Arabidopsis thaliana: one gene and its partners. The protein of the gene in region 2 interacts with the protein of the main gene of each other region in a pairwise test. Each region holds a gene or a part of one and is shown on either strand. Other genes may lie near its edges.

Region 1 (6,532 bases), about 28 Mb from region 2:
CAGTGTGCTTCCAAAGGACATGCAGCAACTTCTGCTTTTAAATCCACAAAGAGCATCTCTTCTTCAAGATCCATCAGAGCTCCAATGAATGCTCTTCTTCACTACGGCGTCCATGAGGATTCTGATTTCTTTTCTTCCCTTTTCTGTTTCATTCTTTGAACTGTACCAAAGAAAAAAGAGAAAAATTCTTCATCTTCCCTAATTGTTTACTCGTTTTTTCTTTTGAAACATGAGAATCACACAACACCGAAATCACTGATCACTGCTGTATTTTTAACTCTATAACCAGATAAATTTATCCTTCTTGGATCCATTAAACATGTAACTGTAACTATGATTTATATTATTACGACAAATGAATAAACTGTATGACCTACAGAAGTTCTATGTCAAAGTATGCAAAGATTCGCCAACTATATGATTAATTGGTCTCTTCAGATCTTCCAATGGAAAGGAGGAATTTTCTGGATTCATAGCATCTTTCATGACATCATATCATTTTCATGGAAACCAAACCACTAGAAACATTATTATATACCATACGGCTGAAAAAAGCATCTCTCACAACAAGATCATTTCATCAAGGGATCAATCTTTACGGTATATGTACACTATTATAGCCAAGCCATAGGATACTGGCATAGAACACACACATGAAGCTTACACACAACATCACAATACAAAGACACCAAACTCTACGAGGCATTGAACATTGGCCATAGATCGGTTTCAGCTACTACACTACTGTACCCTCCTTTTTCTTCTTCTTCAACTTCATACCTTTCTGACTGGTCTGCCTCTGTTGAACTGGTGTCTGTTTCACAAGCAGAAGCCGCGACATCACATATCTCAAAAGCTCTTCACGGTGAGAGAATGTGAAATCAAGGTGAGCATACTCAAACTCATTAAACGATACATCGACCTCGGCATCTCTCATCACATTGTAGTGTTTCTTCACCATAGAGGAACGGATCACCTTGTCGTTCCTTCCCGCTACTAAATCCACAGGCACATCGATGAACTTGTAAGACTCCCCTAGATCAAGCGGTTCAGGAGAGCCATAAACCTCCATGTTAGCTGATCTGCTTCCATAATCATACATCCTGAATTTACCGGTGTGTTTGATCTGAGCAAGATGTTGCGCCACACGGAAGGAGACAGCTGGCATGTCGTTCATGTTGTAGTGAGGCAATCCTAAGACTCCGACCCAATTCGAGCTGTCTCCACCAACTACATAACTCATTAGAGTTTGGACCAATCCACCAAGAGCAGGATAGTTGTGAAAGTCACGGGCTAACTTGTTCAGAAGCATTCTGAAGAATCTTGTCGGTATGTAGAAGGCAGGCACGATGCGAGCCAAAACTGGACTAATGAAAAGGAATATGTACTCAACTATTGTGAAACCTAAGTTCGAGTCCTCATGAAACCCAGCAGGTGAAAGTAGGATTAGTCGTGAGAGTCTGTGTGGCTTCTCCTTGATTTTTCGAGTAATAACATACATCAGAATTGCAGCACCGCCTAGACTGTGACAGATGGCACAGAGCTTATAAGGCTCCTCCTGGTTGATTTCTTCATCGATATTGGGCTGGCAGAGCTTGAGTTCTGTAGTTTTTATTTCATGAATTTTTTCTATCATCGCTGGGATATCTTCAGTACCGTGCTCGTTAATGGAGTATCGCCAGAACCTGCATTTTGGTCAATAACAATGAACATTTGTACAACTTGCAAATATATACATATGATGAAACTCCACTATCATAAAGAAACCAGACAGTGCATGTAGATTAAGTAAGAAGTGAACTTTAAAGCAATAACTCACTCTTTTGAGGATATGTTCTTGTTCACATGATCTCTTGAAACTAAACCCCGAAAGTTACCCAGAAAAACATCATAGCCTGTAAAGGAAAAGAGTGTAAGAAGCTGATAAATCGTTGCCGTATGTGAATTAATAAAAGATTGGAAAATGAAAAACTTGAGGCTTGAACCTTGGTCATACGCAGCAAAAGCCGGAGATCCAACAACCCCATTAGATACCCATCTGAAGAAAAACACGCAGTAGAGAAAAAGAGTAATCAATAATGTTTCATAGGACATATATTAGATCAAAACATCAGAGGATTATAGGATGTTCCAAGTCAAAACTAAATCTTTAAGAAGGATCGGAGAGAAGGAAAGGGAAAAAAGAAGATGAGATAACTAAAGTAACTGAAAGCAGTATCCCTCCTAATCGCACCAAAAGATTTTCCCAAATCCATTTTTGTGTCTTGAGCAAATCAAACACACACGCAAAGTTGAAGGGAACAAATTATGAAAATAATTTTTTTTTGGGTAAAGAGTCAGGAACATTGAAACGCCTAGGAATGTTATGCTACATGGATATAGAAAATAATACTTCCTCAACTTTTCAGCTTACTAAGTTTCCAAAGTTTACGAGTCATCTAAGAACTAGACCATGAAACTTACCCCATTGAAGAATCCAAAACCCCATGCTGCAAAAAAACAGCTTTCCTTGCATCACGTCTGCAAAGACAAGAGTAGTCAACGATCACATTAAGAGACAATGTAACAGGAATGGAAAGCATGCACAAGCGAGCTTAATATCTAACAAGAAAGTTATACCTTGGTATCCTTTCCAAGACAAGAACATATCCGTCAGATGTAATAACACGAATAGCTTCGTAAGGATACCTACCAAGAGTAGGAGAGAAATCAAGTAAATATCAACTACTTGAGAAAGAGAAAAAAAAAATGGAAGCATGAGACATCGAATCTGCCCCTTTACCCCAACTCTGTTATGACATCTTGACACGTTCGAGTATCAGTGTTCATAGAGTTGTATAAACGTGTGGGACTTTCAACGGGCCTTTCCGTGGGGGATGGATCTGTATCTCCTAAAGTAGCAGTCTGCACAGTTTCATCATAAGCAACCTCACCATGGTTTTCTTTAGGGCTGCGACTGGAAGATGAGAACCATGATAACAATATTGCAAAAGCTTCTGATGGAGAAAGAAGAAGATGCGTAGCCTTGTGAAAAAAATCAAATATTGCTTCTATGCCGATCTCGATAGCAAGATGAAGATCCTGAAAAATAAAGCACATTAAGTAGGACGAGTTTGTCAAAAGGTTTAAAATCACAAAAATGATTGTAACATTGAATATTTGTTCGTGCATCCACAAACCTCAATAACCCCACGTCTTCTATCAGTAGTTCGGTTGGGAACATCATGGTCTTTGCTTGAGTTGGTCTTGCTAATACGAGGTCTAGATGAATGTTGGTGCCTTCTCGGGCTCGCAGGAATTCTTGAACTTCGTTTATAGAATAAACTTATAATATATTGTGGTATCCATAGCAAGATCCGTACAGGAAACATTAACCACCAAAGAATGAACGTAATCCACTCTGTCCAGTGGTTTTCAGAACTTGCAGAAGTGCTAGCCCAAGAGAGGCGTGAGCTTTGAGATGATGGTGATGGAGGCAAAGGACCATCACTATCTTCTCCAGAAGAATACTCCAAGCTTGAAGTATCAGAATCAACAGAAAGCTCATGAATGAACTCATTGAAAGAAGAGACCCCACTGCCATCAAAAACAGAGTAAAATTAGCATATTTTGAAGGCTTGCAAATAAACTAACAACAGAAGAATCATGAGAAATTATTACTTATGCATCCACCGTGGTAAACGTGGTCCACGAAACGTAGGCCTGAGTTCCCAGCCATGTAAGCCTTCAAGAATATTAGCCTTCCCTGGGAGAAGGGTCAACAGAAGAGCTGATACTCCATTTATGCACCTCGCAATGTTATTCAAAGACTCATATGTAACAGTTTTTACTGATCTGCACTAAAAGCCAAAACATAATCAAAAAGCTTATTTAGTTTAAGCTTGTTAGACAACATAAGGGAAAAGAAGAACATCTAACAAAAAGACGAACCAAAAAAAAAGAAATAGTCATTTCACCGACTCAAAGTTCATAGCCAACATCAACTCTAAAAGACGAAGCTTTGAATGAAGATACTAGAATAAAATGGTCTAACAAAACTCAAAAACACAATCTACCAATACTAATTAACAAAGAGACTTACTATAATCACCAAACGATCAAAAACTTAAAAATCTCTACTTGTCATTTATGAAACATTAGAACAACTATAGGCGCATACACAGATGAATCCACTGATGATCGATAAGAAAAAAGACTCACTCTTTGGTTACAGCGAGAGCGTTGTCCACGATCCGTTGCATTGCTTTTTTCTCAAAAATCAGATTTTTTTGTTTTTTTGGAAATATCAGAAAATTTGAAACCAAAAAACAATCTGATTCGTCGCCGTAATCCGAAAATTATCGAGGAAAACGACAAAGAGAAAATTTCTTATCCACCTGAGAAAACACAAAATTTAGCCAGAATAGAAATCTCTCGATGCTAGGAGATATTGGACCAAATCGCGATCGAGATTTAATCCGAACTCAAAATAAGGAAAACACAGAGACCCACAGGAGCCGCGATTCGAGAATCAAAAATCTAAAAAGAAAAAACAAAATTGGAGAGAATCTGACGAAAATAAAATAAAAATGGGAGAATCCGATTAAATAGGGGCACGTCGGCGATTCTTGCCGTCCAGAGACCAGAAAATGGTGACACGTGGACATGTGTTATTGGATAATGACGAATGTGACAAAAACTACGACACGTAAATTCGACTTTTGGATAACGGAGAAGGTGGATTTACCAAACAGGCAAACACACAAGTACATTTGTGGTTGTTTTCACTTAGAAAAATAGTACATTTGTTGTATGTTAACGTTGAAACATTATATTATACGAAGCTATTTCTAAAGCTTCATAATAATAATAAAAAAGTGTTTAATATTTGCCTAAATAAATGAAAAGATACTAATTACTTAATCCCTAAACCCTCTGACTGTCTCCAAAGGTTCTCGTTATCTTGATCTCAAGCAGCTTTTAAGGGCATTTCCTCTGGATGTAAGAAGCTCCATGCTCTGCATACCTGTCATGTACACAAAAAGACTCAAACCCTAGCGATGAGAAGACACTGTTTATACGTGAGTCGAGATCTAGAGAGCAATCCAATGTGTTACTTACTCAGACTTGGAGAACCACATTTGCTGGAATGAGCCTAACGATGCCAGTATACTACCTTACTTCTACCAAGTCTTTCTCGAGGCGTTCTTTCAATTACTGCATTGATGATGTTCCACCAGAATAATCTGTTCCTAATCCAAGATGAACTCAGCATCGATAAAAGGTAGAGAAACCAGACTTTTCTCTCTGCTGCTGTGAGTTCAGAGGAGGCTCTGCAAGTAGCATTGGGTGCTCCGTGGGATCAATCATTAGACAATTCCTTGAATAATAAACATTTACACAGATGAAATCATCAATCAACTATAAATGGAAAAGATAAAGATTAAACAGTTAAAGACAAAAACTAACAGATTCTGCAAATTACCTAAAAGCATGATCCCATACATTGTCCACCATATCCCAATCAGTTACAATGCCATCCTTTGTAGGTGACAATATCTGGAACAGACAAATGTCAACTAATAGAGAGACCTGAAAATTTATCTTCATCCCTAACCATTTTGAAGTTTAATAAAGAAAACTGACCTCCATTTGATCGCGGCGAAAGTTCAAAGCTTGAGATCCTGTGTAAAGCTTCCTTTTGCCTTTTTCTTTATCAGACTCCTTTGCATCCTCCGTGGTGTTTGCAGCATCATCAATATCCATTCCATTTCCATCTATCGCTCCAACAACCTTATAAGTTATATAACACATCAACAACAGCAACAACAAAAAACCTAAATTTCTCGAATTGCTTGCTCTACACTAAAAGGACCTAACTTTAACCAATTGAAAAGAGAGGAAGTAAAGAATGAGACTTACGGAAGGGAAAACAGCTTTAGGGGCATCTTCTCCGGCGTAACCAGCTTTGCAAGTGTGAGAACCTAAGTCTACTACGATAGCTGACACTTCGTCTGTTCAATATATAAGAAACCCCACCAAGGAAAAGTTTACACCTTTACGAGACGAGCTCAAGCGAAAAGGGAAAGAAGTAATGCTGAATTTGTACAATCAGAGAGAGATTTTAGAGAGGACGAAAATAAAACCTACCTCCACCGTACATGGCTGCCGAGAATGGGAGAGGTGAAGAGAGGTTTTCTCTACCGGAGCTTCGTCGGAAGGTTTAAGAACGGAACCGGAAAGTAAACTATTTAAGTGATTTCACTTTGTCTCGGATTGGGAAGTTGAATATAAAGAAGAGAAGGACTAAAACAAACAAACCTGAAATATGAGGGACTAAAACTAAAGAAACTGAAAACAAAGGGACTAAAATAAAAACAAATATGAAAAAATTAAAAATACGCCGTTGCCGGGGATCGAACCCGGGTCACCCGCGTGACAGGCGGGAATACTTACCACTATACTACAACGACTTTGTTGCTCAAGTTTTCTAAATTTGGTATTTCAATTGGTTAACTATTTCAAATTCTAAAAATTTGTTAACGAGATTCCG
Region 2 (4,297 bases):
TTATAAAACTTAATGTTTTTTGCATTTTTGGTTGTTATATGTTGGCAGCATGCAGCAGCCAACGAGTTATGTGTAGATGCTGGTTCAACCAACTCGACCTATATGGGTTATAGTTATACGAGTTGTTGACCGAATTTATGGTTCAAGACTTTCAAGAACCAAGAGAAATTGTAATGGAATTGTTTGTATATATTCTTTTATTCTTTAAATTGACTTTTTTTCATCACAGATTCTCTAATTGACTCTCTTCGTTACTTTTACAAAGGTACCAGAAGAAAAAAAACATTTTATAATATGAGGTCGAAATATAACATTTTATAATGGTGAAACCTTCAGAAGATGAAAAATTCAAAATAAAAACCTATGGAACAGTAGTGGATAACGTTTGGTCCAAAAAAAAATCAAATTGTTGAATGAATGAATAAATCTACACCACAAATTCGCAGAAAAATAAAAATAAAAAGGTGTATATCATAAATTAATTGGAGCCAGCGTAGACTATATAGTATTTGTTAGTATGCAAGGTTTGCTTTATCATTTATGGGTGTGTCATTCATTCATGTGTGTGAACGCAGACATAGTGGATTAGAATTTTGTTTGACTTGAGTTAAATTTTCAAATTCTGGTTTACCAAAAGTATGAATAATCAACTAACGTATACCAAACACACATCCATAAATTAATTAAATTATATGATTTTCAATCGACAACTTACATCAACAATTAAAAAATAAAATCAAGAAGAACACAATTACATATATGATTATCCGGTTCAACCAATCATTGCACAACTTTAACCGGATATTGATCAATCGAACCAGCCCAAGCATTACCGGTCATCTCCTCCGTCGAAACCGGTCGTAACGCTTTCCAAACCGCACTATTACACTTGAAACCCGATCCAAACGCAATCTGCCAAAGTCGGTCACCAGCTTTAACCCGACCCTTAGCTTCGGTATAAGCCATCTCATACCAAAGCGAGCTACTCGAAGTGTTACCAAATCTGTGCAAAGTCATTCTAGAAGGTTCCATGTGCCAATCTTTGAGATCAAGATTCTTCTGCACTTCGTCTAGAACCGCTCTACCTCCTGCGTGAATACAGAAATGCTCGAAAGCTAGCTTGAAATCCGGAATATACGGTTTAACTTTTAACTTGAACATCTTCCTTTTGACCAAGGAAATCAAGAACATCAACTGCTCTGACAATGGAAGAACCATCGGTCCTAAAGTCGTGATGTTTGTTTTCAGAGCGTCTCCGGCGACAGACATGAGCTCTCTAGCTAAAGAGACACCGATTGTTCCTCTCTCGTCTTCCTTCTGGTACACGCAATTGTAGTTCTTGTCGTCTGATCCTTTATGTGTTCGAACGACGTTGACCAGCGAGTACTTTGACTTCTTCCGGTCTTGACGGCGGTTAGAGAGGAGAATCGCAGCTCCGCCCATTCGGAAGATGCAGTTGCAGAGGAGCATTGACCGGTCATTTCCGAAGTACCAGTTTAGGGTTATGTTTTCCGTGCTTACCACGACAGCGTAAGAATTAGGGTTTGCTTTGAGGAGATTGTTAGCGAGATCGATTGAGATTAATCCGGCGGAGCAACCCATTCCTCCGAGGTTGTAACTTTTGATGTCTTCTCTCATCTTGTAATGGTTCACGATCATCGCTGATAGAGACGGCGTCGGATTGAATAAGCTGCAGTTTACTATCAAGATTCCGACTTCGGCCGGTTTAATTCCGGTTTTCTCGAAGAGGGAATCTAAGGCTCCAAACATAACGGCTTCAGCTTCGGCACGTGCCTCTGACATATTTAGCTTCGGGGGCGTTGAAGTTATGCCACGTGGCAGATACGTCTCGTCTCCCAAACCGGCCCGGTTCGAGATTCTTTGCTGGAACTGAACCGTGTCATCGGTGAATGATCCATTTTCCTCAGTCATCGTCAAGAACGAATCTACTGATATTTTACGCTCGTCTTCCGGTTTGTAGCAGGAGAAATCCACTAGGTAAACCGGTTTAGACCGGTTAGCCACGTAGAGGGTCAAAACGAAGGAGAGGAAAACCAAGCAGGTAAGTCTCGTCGCCGTGTCGAGTTGAACCGCCTGGTTAGACCAAAGCTCAGAGAACGTATCGAACGTTAGACCGGTTAGCTGAACCAGCACGGTTCCGGTTAAAGGAAGAATAATTAAGAAGAAGAGAATGGTGGTCACGTTGCAAGAGTTGTGAAGTCCAAGCTTCACGTATTTGAGCTTAACGGACGTTAATAAATCCGGCAAACGTCTTCGAATTCTTATAACGGCCGATGATGAATCTCGAAACGCCATCTCCGCCGTTAATCTCTCTCGATCCATCTCAATGCTGTTTGTTCTCTCCATCAGTATAGTTTTGGGTCGAAATATTTCAAACGTAAATCAAGGAAGGATTGAAGATAAAATGTAAAATCTTTAGGCAAATTTGGAGAAATAGAAAGAGAGAGAAAATGAGAATGGGAATTCTAAAATTGGTGAATTAGGAGGATTTTGGTGAAATGAGGGCAAGTAGGGATGGAGAGATATATAGAGTGCAAGAAAGATAAAAATATTTTAAAGATTAATAATAGTAATGACTTAACAAAAAAAAAAAAAAGATGGAATAATATTCGAATTTAATGATGGGTGGTTCCGAGATAATACTATTAGCTCAACTACTTATATGGGACCTTGATATTAAATTAAGTAGTCAGATTATTTTTCATGTTTTGTTCACACGAAATGCAAGTTACAAAAGTCTAACAAAACCTAGCTGAATCTCATAAGTCATATGGTAGATCATAAATTTGGTTTATCTTTTTTTTCACACATATATTTGGGCATCATAACATTCTATTTTGGTGTAACCTAATTTTTTTTTTTTTTGAAGTTTTTGATAAACAACATAACTTGTTAATTATACCACTACAACACAACAAAATATGACATGTTTGTTATATATTTCCTTATAATTAAACTTAAACGTTTTAGACATCCATGATGTTTTTATTAGCAAGTGTATGTAGGTTATCCAAAATTGAGTGAGGGCAAGTTATAAAATTATATATCAATTGAATATTATAAGCAGGTTGGCTGCACGTAGTGCAAATGCACTGGGTCAGCGACGGGTAAGTTGATATAATATGTTGTAAATAGTAAATTTAAAGGGAGAACGTGTTCGAGAAACGTACCTCTCATTCATGAGAAGCGTTCACTGTCCAAATTGCAAGAACAAGGGTAGACGAAAGCGTGTCCCAAATATTCAAATTTGTTATTTCTTTGTATAAATGTGTATCCCACATGCATACAAACTCCTTAATATGGGCCATGGTAAATTGATGATAATGAATTACTATGACTTCTTAATAGCAGCACATTTCGATTTGTTTCTCCATTATATACCATCCCTATTAGCTGTTCCAGTATTGTAGTCATTGTCATTTATAAATTTGCTGTCTTCGTTAAGACGTTTGTTATATAAGGGACCCTTTACATAATGAATTTATTTCATATTATAAATCTGATAAAGAAGTAATTAGTTTTGGAGTTGCATATCTAGTTAGTTTTCGAGTATTTTTCTAGTTATTTCATATTGATTGTGCCAAGGTGTCCAAAATAGACCTCGGACGGGTAGTTGTAGCTTGTAGCTTTGTAGGTAAATAAAATGTTCGGATTTGAGGTCCCAAAGTGGACTTATTGTCCCTGTTTTGTTTTCATTGGGATAAAGTTGTTGGTAAAATGTAATGCTTTTAATAGTTAAATCATTTCTAATATCGTGATTACTGGGAAATAATAGAGAAAAAGAAAACAAAGACAAAAGGCAGCGACGTCGTTTCCATAATATCGTGATTACTGCATGAAACACATGTTTCAACAGTACGCATACCAACTCTCAAACTTCAATATTGGAAAGATCCAGTTCATCAGATGCTAATAATTCATATATTTAGGTTTATGTACAGCATAATGAACAATAGAGAGAATTAATCAATAAACAGATCAAAGTATTAATTTGCAAGATAAATGAAATAATGATGATAATAAATGGTAGACTAGTACCCATGTGTAGACATAAACCAACAATTAATGTTGGTCGGCTTAATACCAACTAACTAGAAACCAGTCCGTCATCAATGTATGAATGTACACACTCACATCTTGCAATAATTTTAAAAAGGACTAACAATTTAAATGGTTGCTACATAAATAAACGATATAGCCTTACATAAAACTAGCGAAAAAGGTTGATATTGGCTGTATAACATGCACAGTACTACCAGGCTCTAACATGCTTCAA
Region 3 (5,473 bases), about 22 Mb from region 2:
TGTTTAGTTAGAATAATTAGAAGATGACACATATATATATATATAAAACAACAATATATACATTTCGTTAAGATTTTTAATGTTTTATATTAGTACTATATAAGTAATATTGAGATCCAAGTAATATATAATAATTTGTTGAGAAAATTAATAAAATGTAAAAAGCTTAAGAAAAATTACTAGCTTGTGGATTCTTTAGAGGATGTGAAAAGATTAGAATGAACTAGGCTTCTCGGCCATGAAGGTAATTCATAAAGCAACAACAGATCACGAGGAATCAAATTGCAATCAACAATGTCCACAATCTTCAACTTGGTCAATACCGTCAACTCATTACCATCAAAGTTATTAGAGCACACATAAAGCCTAATATATTATCATTTGAGCAGCCCATCTAAACCCGCTAATGATTTTGCTATAAAACCTAATAACATAGGCTGAATAGGCTTCTCAAATGATAATATTTTGGGGTTTTATGTGTTCTCTAATATAAATCTGGATCTCACCTTCTAATGATTTTCTTAAATGCACATGGGATCCAACTTCAGTGGTTTGGGATGGATTCAAGAATTGGAGAAAGGTCCATATCGAGAAACAATTATGTCCTACAAACACAAGCATAACCTCTTTGTTGGGCCATCTTGTGTGTTGGAAATCTGAATTACCTAACACAAACGCCGTCAACGGGCTTGCACTAAATCCGACATGGCCCATGTTTCAACATATCCATGGTGGCACCCGTCACTTTAACAATTGAGGATACAATCGCTCACCATGCTTGTGATTAATTTGAGACCTTTCACAACTGTTGTAAGTTCGAATGTTTCCTTTTAGCTACAGCATACTGTAGTGGCTAAACGTTTAGGTAGATACAACGAAGGCTAAAGAGAGAAACAAATGTTTGGTGACTGATTTCTAGCGCGCGATAACTAGCCCCAACGACAATGCGGCTCCAAGCAAGGCGTGGAGTCTCACACAGTAATACTTGGCCATGAATATCTTCCCATTATCCTGCATTAAAAGAATAGATTAGCAAAACTTTGAGTATTACAAATTTCAATTCTAAATATCTTACCTTGTGGTGCTTTTCAACGTAGCTTGAAACCAAATTCCCAACTGGTAATGTCAGGAAGCACATCAACTGAAACACCAACAACAAAAAGGAGGTTTTAATATATGTTCTTATATTTCAGTCATGTTCTCAAATCTGTTAACTTACGGTGCAAGGTAGTGGCAAAATCCTGGTTAAACCAAGAACAAGAAGCATTGAATATAGTAAACGAATAGTCCATCTCACAACAAAAGCTCCTTTTTCAGTCCCTAACCGAACCTGTGTCAACCAAAAAAAAACTCTAATCATAAACACAATCACCATATTCATATTAAACCTTGTTGAGTTTTTTTCACATTTGTACCAGAGGTGAATATTTCCCCACAGCTAAATCTCCATCCACCTATAGAATGTAAATGTAGTCAGTACTGTGTTTGTCATTTCAGGACTCATTAGACCACTTTTTCATTAACCAACCTGATGAAAGTGGCTGCAGAAAAGGATAAGAGATGTAGTAAAACCAACAAGGACAGATGATGAAAGGACCCTACCGCTTAGCGGAAGATGCCTCATCTCGCTGCCAAAACCGATTAACAAGCTTCCATTATTAACACCTCATGGAAACACGAATGGATTAGGCTTAAAACAAAATTTTGATATTACCTTGAGCTACCAAGAAGTAGATAAAAAGCAGTAGTAGCAAATGGACCAAATGCTGCAAAGCATAGAGGCTCTCCTAATCCTTGGTAACTTAACCGAAATGGCGGACACTAGTCACAAAGTATTACTCTAAGTTAGAAATCTCCTAGATTAGTATCAAATTGTCATCTAGGAAGTAACGTTCACCTGGTATACGTAGCCACAGAGTATTGCTGAGGCTAGCAATAGTATTGCACGGATATTACTTGCATTTAACGATGTCCAAACTAGACCAGAAACACCAAGCGCTAGCGATGTGATTGCAGCGGCTAAGGTTCCTGTCCGGCTTTTCCAAGTAAAACACAGTTTATTAGGATGGAACTCAAAAACATAAACTTCAAAGTTGCAAACTCTATCCTTTGATAATACTTTACCTTCCAACCAGATTTACTACTGATTCCATTTTGTTCTTATCAGCTCCGGTATCAAAATCATAAACATCATTGCTGCAAACATAAAACCATGTTTGGAAAGAGTAAATACATGAAAGAGTAAATACAGTCAACGAAAATGTTAAAAGGAATCAATCAATTAATCACCTTAGGTTGAGCCAAGTAATGATAAGAATTGATGAGAGCAATAGAGTAACATAACGTCTAGCTAAGAACAAACCCGTCTCTAAATAGGCCGCTGAAGCGCCAACCTGTGTGACATTTGAACAGTGAATATTCCCTAGCAGATAAAGGCAATGGAGGACATAGAAAGGTTTCTTGAGGAAACATACGGTAAGAGGAACTAAAGCGACAGAGTACATTGGTAGTTTGATTGCTCTCCATATCAATTTTGCTCTGGGAATCTCCTCTTCTTGGTAAACCTTTGCTGCATCTCCATAACTCTTACAAAAGATTGGCCTAACTCTAAGGTTTCTTCTTGGTTTAGCATTCAGATTCTCTCGTGCATTCGAACCAAACACCGGTAATCTAGTGATTACATCTCCTCTGCTGGGAAGCTAAGCTAAGTAATTTTAGTGACAGTACAAAGTAGATTATTGTCAAAGAACAAAGCTTTGGATGAAGTGCTAAGCCTACCTTGTGAATTTTCCGTTTCACAAACAAATCAGTTGAATTTTTGGGCACAAACCCATACTTTATGTCACAGAGAGAAACAAAATTCACCATTTTCAGGTTTCTGCATAAAACAAAAGAAAGAATTTCAGTTAACAGAGGAAGAACACTACTTCCGAGTTAAAGTCCGAGATTCTGGAACCCTATAACTAAAATCTTTGTTCTGGCATGAATCAGAGACAATGGAAAATGAGTAAGATGAAGTAAAAAAAGTATGAAGTTTGGAACTTTACCTTTTTTAACACGAATCTTTCGAAGAGAGTTAGCGACGGAAGTGGAGTCAGATCAAAACCACGACGTGATCATAACAAAATTCACTTGAGGAAAAATATTTCAACTTGGCTCGTCTACAACGAGATTTTCATGAACCCACGAATCTGGAATCTTAATTTGGAGAAGATAACGCACACAGAAGTACAGAACAAACTCATTGAACCTTATACAAAAACTGAGAGAAAAGTGCCCGAATTATGCCAATAAACAGGCAAAATTGAGTGACCAGAATCAGAATCAGAGGATTTGTGAAGGAATCTATGCAATGCAAATGTTGGGATTTCGTTATTCAGACAAGAATTTGAATGTTGGGTTTTGCGGAAGAGACGTGAATGATGAAGTGGATAACAGAAGCTCCCTCGTTGGAAGATAAAATCACGTGAGGTTCACGTGTCTTTGACCAATTTTAAATACAAGTAGAAAGGTGGGCCTTTAAGGCCCATTACTTTCGAGCCTTTGAGGGTTTGGTTGGTACAAACTACTACAAGTAAACTAGATTTGCATGATTTACAAATTAAACAATGTTGACATAATTTATAATTAAACCAAATTAATATTAATGCCAAAAATTAATATTCAGATGGGGAAATTAACTGCGTCTTTTTTATTTTTGCAAACGTAATATGATGTATATTAATATCAACTTTATTAGTATTTTTCTAACGGAAATATTGATCAAAATCCTTTACATTAAAAAAATATTGTTTTAGTACATAAATAACCTTACTTGGGAAACAAGTTTTGCAGCAAAAATATTAAGAAGAAAAAAATCAGCCAAAACAAGTTTAATAATTTCTTCTAACAATGTAATCCACAGCTTGACATATCGCACACGACACGGAACTCAATTATTATCTCGTGTTCAAAGAACGGCTGCTTAATAACTACGAAATAGCAGAATCATGCTATATAGGTTTAATGGCAAAAGCAAAGAAAGACTCGACCAAGTTTTCATTCATCACCACCATCACATACAAATATGTTCATCCACCATTTACTTTTCAAGAGTATGAAGACAACTCAGAAGAAGAAGACCTGAACGCTAGAAGTTTTCAAAGACTGGCAAACAGGACAAACACCAGTAAACACATCACAATCTTTACACAAACTCAAGTGCCTACATGGCACGAGCAAGACCGAAACATTCTTTACGTTACACAACTTACATCTCATCCCAGTACTTGGCATCCCCGGGATGTTCAAGTAATTGTAAGAAGCTGCTTCGTCATCAATCTCACTATCCCCAAACCCTTCTTTCATTTGATGATGATCAGCAACTCCTCCTCCTACTGCATTGTTGTCGTTTCCATGTGACATCACTTGTTGCAAATTTACCTTTAAGGCATTAACCACAGATTCATTGTATTTTGCTTTGTAATGCCAGTTCTGAGCTTCCACTGCCACTTGTTTTATCTTATCCACGAGTTCCCGGTTCTTCTTGTTCATGCTTTCAATCTCATGGTCTTTCTCTTGAAGCTTCTTACTCACATCCTTCTCTAAGGCCGTGACAAAGGACGTGACATGTCTCTGTTTAATATCTCTCACACCTTTCGCCATTTGATCTGCCTGTTCCAAGAGAGAACAATTTCAACGACATGGGATATGTAAGCAAAAACATACGCTTTGTAGATAAAATTAATACCCGGAATTTGATAAACTGATCAAGCTCGTCGTTCTGTCTATTGAGGTCCAATCTGATATTGTCACCGAGTGACTGATAGACTGGAGTTGTTATGCTTCCATTTGCTGAAGTTACAGAAGAGTTGCGCTCATCATCATCATAAGATAGTCTCAGACCAGTTGACACTAAGTTCTGCTTTGGGACTTCATCTTGAACAACAGTATTATTGTTGTTGTAGTTATAATTCAAAGAGATCTGCAGCTTCTGCTGTCTCTGCATAATATTGTTGTTTTCAGTTTCCCTTCCGCGTGTGCTATTAAGCCGCATCATAGGAGCAAGGTTATCATTAGCAAAGTAGTTTACAGGATCAATAGTACAACCAGCTCTCACTGCAACCACATACAAAGGAACAAGCTTTTAGCTCTATAAAGTTCTAACAACATTCAAACCAAATGAATAACAAAATTCAGAAACTTACTCGTCCCAAGCAAGTGAAGCTGATTCAACGATGTGTTTGATTGATACCGAAACTGGCTGTCGTTCATTAGAACCTGCGGCACAGGGTTATCATTGTTGCCTCCCAACATCTTCTCTAGAGCTTAACCGTTTTATGTGTATATATATACCCGTAAAGAACTGAAACAGAAAAATTACAGTAAGAAACCTGTAGACATACGAAACTAATTAGTTGTAAGATATGAAAGCTCAAATATCTTCAGCTTTTGACATGACGAGCCAAGATGTAATAAGATTTAACTGTCCTAA
Region 4 (4,113 bases), on a different chromosome or scaffold from region 2:
ATTATGATGATTGTCAAGTGTACGAAACAATAAACATCCTTAGACTTGGAAGGAAAGGTGTTCTCATAATTTGGACGGTGGACCTAACTTGCTTCCGTGTGGAATAAGTTATACATATCTTCCTCTTCTTCTCTTTGGTTTTTGGTAAATTATTTCAATTATTTCTAAAGTTTGGTAAGTTAATTTTTTTTTTGTTACGTTTAATTTCCTTTTTATATATATTGATGCGATATGTTTACTAATAGATATTTTAAACATGTACCTGCGCTGGTTCGAACTCAAAAACCCTAAGAAAAAAACTAGCCGATGCTATTTAGTTGTATAGAAAAGCTATTTTCTTGGACGCTAATAATCTTTCGATTAGATACGATAAAATGTTCATATCATAATTCACATTACTAATAAGTTTATCAGATTCTCGCTTTGTTAGCACCAGACTTTTGGTATCGATTCAAGTCGGCTACTCATGTCCTAAAGAGAAATCATAACTAAATCTTACACCAAAAGCTAAGATTATGGTTGTTTGATAGTTCCCTTTTTGGGATCATATATGTTTGATCAGTTCGGTATTAGTAAACTATCTTATTAACCGGACCAAGTCTTGTTCAATTCAATACAATTCTTCGGTTTGTATTATAAAACAAACCGGTCTCATAACCTTAAAATGAAGCCCCCAAAAATAGTCCAATACAACAAAACCAAAGCCAAAGCCTTCTTCCAAAAAGACAGTTTACAAAAACAAAAACAATAATCTCAACCTGAGCAACAACCAGAAGATTTAACAGCAGTAACATCATCCTTATTTCCGATATCAATGGTTTGTCCTTTAGGTAAAGACATCGGATCTCCAGTACCATCAAGAGCTTTACGGCTCATTACACGATAGATTTGAGTCAAGACATGAGTGAAAGCTTGTTCGACATTTGTAGCATCCAAAGCAGAAGTCTCCATGAAAAACATGTTTTCTCTTTCAGAGAATGATCTAGCTTCTTCTGTGGGAACTGCACGAAGGTGACGAAGATCGGCTTTGTTTCCAACAAGCATGATTACAACGTTGGCATCGGTATGGTCACGAAGCTCCTTGAGCCATCTTTCAACGTTTTCGAACGTTATGTGTCGAGTTATGTCGTATACTAGAAGTGCCCCCACTGCTCCTCTGTAGTATGCACTCGTGATTGCTCTGTATCTGTATAACAAATAAGTCGCTATTACTCAAAAACAGAGCATATAGAGAAGAAAGAGAGCATAGGAGTGGGAGATCGGTTTACGGTTGGTTAGTTTCGGCTATTGATTATATCGGTTAATAGAAATTAAAACCAAATAAAATAATTTGTAATCTGGTTTATTTTCCAATTTGTTCTTGATTTGAATTAAGTTATATTTGGTTCCTTTTAGCAAAAAAAACTTTTTACCAAGAAAGTTATATTTGGTTAATCTATAGAAATTGATTATTAAAATAAAATCATTATCTAGTCAAATATTATATCAGTGCAATATACTTATTCCAATTTTCCATACATATACATAATTAAAAGTATATTATATTTATAAAAAAAATCGAAATTGATAATTGAAATAAATCATGATCTAGTTAATATTATATTAATGTAACATAACTATTTCAATTTAATTTCCATAGAGATACATAATCAAAAGTAGAGGATTTCTAAAAAAATGCGGTTTATTTGGTTACACTAAATCAGTTTATATTGGTTTCAAAATAGTAAAACAAACAAATTTGTAAAATTATCCAGTTTGATTTTTGTTCAACCATTTCGGTTTGGTTTGGTTCAAAGAATGAAACAAAACAGAACATATAGAGATAAAACAGTGAAATTTCGAGGATTTATTACCTTTCTTGACCAGCGGTGTCCCAAAGCTGAGCTTTGATGATTTTTTCGTCGACATGAACACTTCTTGTGGCGAACTCGACACCGATGGTTGACTTTGACTCGATGCTGAATTCGTTTCTGGTGAAGCGAGACAAAAGATTGGATTTTCCGACGCCGGAATCTCCAATCAAGACTAGTTTGAAGAGATAATCGTAGTCGTCGTCGGCTCTGTAGGCTCCCATTATTAAGGTATTTGATAGAAGTTACAAAATCGTAAAGAAGAATTCAGAGAGATGTTGCAATATGATCTAATGAAATGAATGATGTGTTGTTGTGTTTTGTAATGAAATGAAATTATGGGTAGTGGGTAACGACGAAAGGGCTTATTGGTTTTGGTAGTGTTATAAAAATAAGAATAATATTAGGATTCAATCATTTGTTATTATTATATGCATGACTTAGCATATGTATATGTTTTGAAAGTCGTTGGAAAGATTAGAGAACAAACATGTTTGACGAAATCTTCGGGTTTATGGCCGCCATGAACTTGGTAAACGCAGAACAATATACACTTGCAGGAAAAAACAATATTATTATGTCTTCAATTCAATAATTCAATTTATAGCTTTTCTCAAATAAAATCACAGGGAAATTTGTTCATAAATAAAATTATAGCAATGTGTAGGAAGATATCTAGGTAAAAGATTTTTTATGGTATATTGTCATGAAATTTTCCATTTCTATTTTTAACTTCTAAGGATTTTTTTTATATGACACTAAATATAGTGTAGAGTTGAGATTATTGTTGGACACATGTACTAGACTTTTAGTAATAGATCAAGTCTAAAGGAAACTAGTAAGTTTGTTTTTGAGATAGATCTTATATTATTTATTTTAGACCTAAAAGGCTAAAACATTTGTGTTCATGTAAATGTTAGCAATAAATAGAAGAATTACTTAAAGCTCTTAATTGACAAACAACATTTTAACATTATTATTTCTCAGTTTTGTTTCTGTGGACAATTTATTTGACTACTATATGCATATATATTTGCTAGATTTTGATACCTACATAACACTTGGTTATAAAGAAAAACAAAAACCACTCAAATTGAATTTCAACTTGAGAACTCTTTATTATTTGACACCAATGTGTATATGACCTATTTTATTACAATAATTTGTATTGGTTCGAGAATCATTGACCACAGCTTATAGCTCAAGACTTAGATAAAACACAGACACTCAAAGAGGAAACATAACACAACAATGGTACAAGATTTTTCTTAACATTTTAAACGACGACTTGCAAGTCACCGACCTATAAATTGTCTCTGTTTTCCACCAATTTCGAAAAGAATACCATAATAAAAGAGGACAATCTATCACCACTTTGATCATCATCAATGTCCCAAGTGCAGAGCTTCATCCACGGCCAGTGCCAATGCAGCAGCAGCACCAACATATGTGTGTGGAGTTAGCTCCAGAAGTTGGTCTTTTGCTTCTGAAGGCAATTCCAAACCTTTGATAAACGTTCTTATGGTTTCTTCATTCACAGCTTTTCCTCTTGTTAGCTCCTTCAGCTTCTCATACGGCTCAGGGACACCGTATCTCCTCATCACCTTTATTTGATACCATAATACTTCTGTGGATTAGAGATACATCAAATATCTTGATTGATATAGAAGATTAGAAACTCGAGAAATTTACAGTTTGTATTGGTTCAGCAAGGACTTCCCAATTATCATCCAAATCTTCTTTTAACCGAGCTTCATTAACCTATATCAAGAACATTCTTAGTTTGTGACAAGTGGAAACATTTCTTAGGGCTACGGTAATAATACCTGAAGCTTCCCGATTCCCTGTATCGCACTCTTGTAAGCGAGAAGAGAGTGTCCTAAAGCTCCACCCATGTTTCTCAAGACAGTTGAATCAGTTAAATCACGCTGCAGATTGTACATTTTTCAGGCTTAGTTTACTTCCATCACTCTAGCTGAGATACATAGAATATGGAGAAATGTTAAAACCTGCATGCGTGAAATGGGAAGCTTCATGCTGAGAAAAGTAAGCTCTGCGTTTGCTTTCCCTAGATTCCCTTCGCTGTTCTCAAAGTCAATAGGATTCACTTTGTGAGGCATTGTCGACGATCCAATTTCACCCGCTTTAGTTGTCTGCAAAATCTCAAACAATGAGACGATTTTCCCATTCAGATTCAAATGATTTGACATCTTTTTTTTTCCTTTCTTATATTAACACTTGCCTGCTTAAAGTACCCTAGAGA

The links.
Region 1: the proteins of KCS1 (region 2) and AT1G73920 interact in a two-hybrid assay, tested with the Arabidopsis thaliana proteins (one large-scale study listed by BioGRID).
Region 3: the proteins of KCS1 (region 2) and ABC4 interact in a two-hybrid assay, tested with the Arabidopsis thaliana proteins (one large-scale study listed by BioGRID).
Region 4: the proteins of KCS1 (region 2) and RABA1e interact in a two-hybrid assay, tested with the Arabidopsis thaliana proteins (one large-scale study listed by BioGRID).

What each region holds. Positions count from the first base shown.
Region 1 is NC_003070.9:27,788,903-27,795,434, reverse strand, and holds AT1G73920 (alpha/beta-Hydrolases superfamily protein), read right to left. Parts: upstream 4,699-6,532; 5' UTR 4,242-4,698; coding exon 4,201-4,241; intron 3,840-4,200; exon of another isoform or gene 3,835-3,839; coding exon 3,661-3,834; intron 3,577-3,660; coding exon 3,180-3,576; intron 3,082-3,179; coding exon 2,783-3,081; intron 2,689-2,782; coding exon 2,620-2,688; intron 2,521-2,619; coding exon 2,464-2,520; intron 2,039-2,463; coding exon 1,986-2,038; intron 1,896-1,985; coding exon 1,820-1,895; intron 1,686-1,819; coding exon 737-1,685; 3' UTR 507-736; downstream 1-506. Other genes in the region: AT1G73930 (polarity axis stabilization protein), read left to right, coding at 1-88; ARP4A (actin-related proteins 4A), read right to left, coding at 5,135-5,312, 5,465-5,538, 5,626-5,772, 5,902-5,993, 6,130-6,142.
Region 2 is NC_003070.9:56,612-60,908, forward strand, and holds KCS1 (3-ketoacyl-CoA synthase 1), read right to left. Parts: upstream 2,605-4,297; 5' UTR 2,368-2,604; coding exon 781-2,367; 3' UTR 553-780; downstream 1-552.
Region 3 is NC_003070.9:22,323,892-22,329,364, forward strand, and holds ABC4 (UbiA prenyltransferase family protein), read right to left. Parts: upstream 3,469-5,473; 5' UTR 3,048-3,468; intron 2,879-3,047; 5' UTR 2,869-2,878; coding exon 2,779-2,868; intron 2,700-2,778; coding exon 2,475-2,699; intron 2,394-2,474; coding exon 2,290-2,393; intron 2,197-2,289; coding exon 2,125-2,196; intron 2,037-2,124; coding exon 1,898-2,036; intron 1,822-1,897; coding exon 1,715-1,821; intron 1,629-1,714; coding exon 1,529-1,628; intron 1,455-1,528; coding exon 1,416-1,454; intron 1,331-1,415; coding exon 1,220-1,330; intron 1,142-1,219; coding exon 1,076-1,141; intron 1,012-1,075; coding exon 916-1,011; 3' UTR 546-915; downstream 1-545. Other genes in the region: AT1G60610 (SBP (S-ribonuclease binding protein) family protein), read right to left, coding at 4,108-4,653, 4,730-5,097, 5,187-5,295. UniProt on the Arabidopsis thaliana protein: Involved in the synthesis of phylloquinone (vitamin K1). Catalyzes the transfer of a prenyl chain to 2-carboxy-1,4-naphthoquinone.
Region 4 is NC_003075.7:10,183,150-10,187,262, forward strand, and holds RABA1e (RAB GTPase homolog A1E), read right to left. Parts: upstream 2,235-4,113; 5' UTR 2,075-2,234; coding exon 1,854-2,074; intron 1,187-1,853; coding exon 754-1,186; 3' UTR 522-753; downstream 1-521. Other genes in the region: AT4G18440 (L-Aspartase-like family protein), read right to left, coding at 3,236-3,454, 3,543-3,611, 3,677-3,778, 3,860-4,003, 4,093-4,113. UniProt on the Arabidopsis thaliana protein: Intracellular vesicle trafficking and protein transport.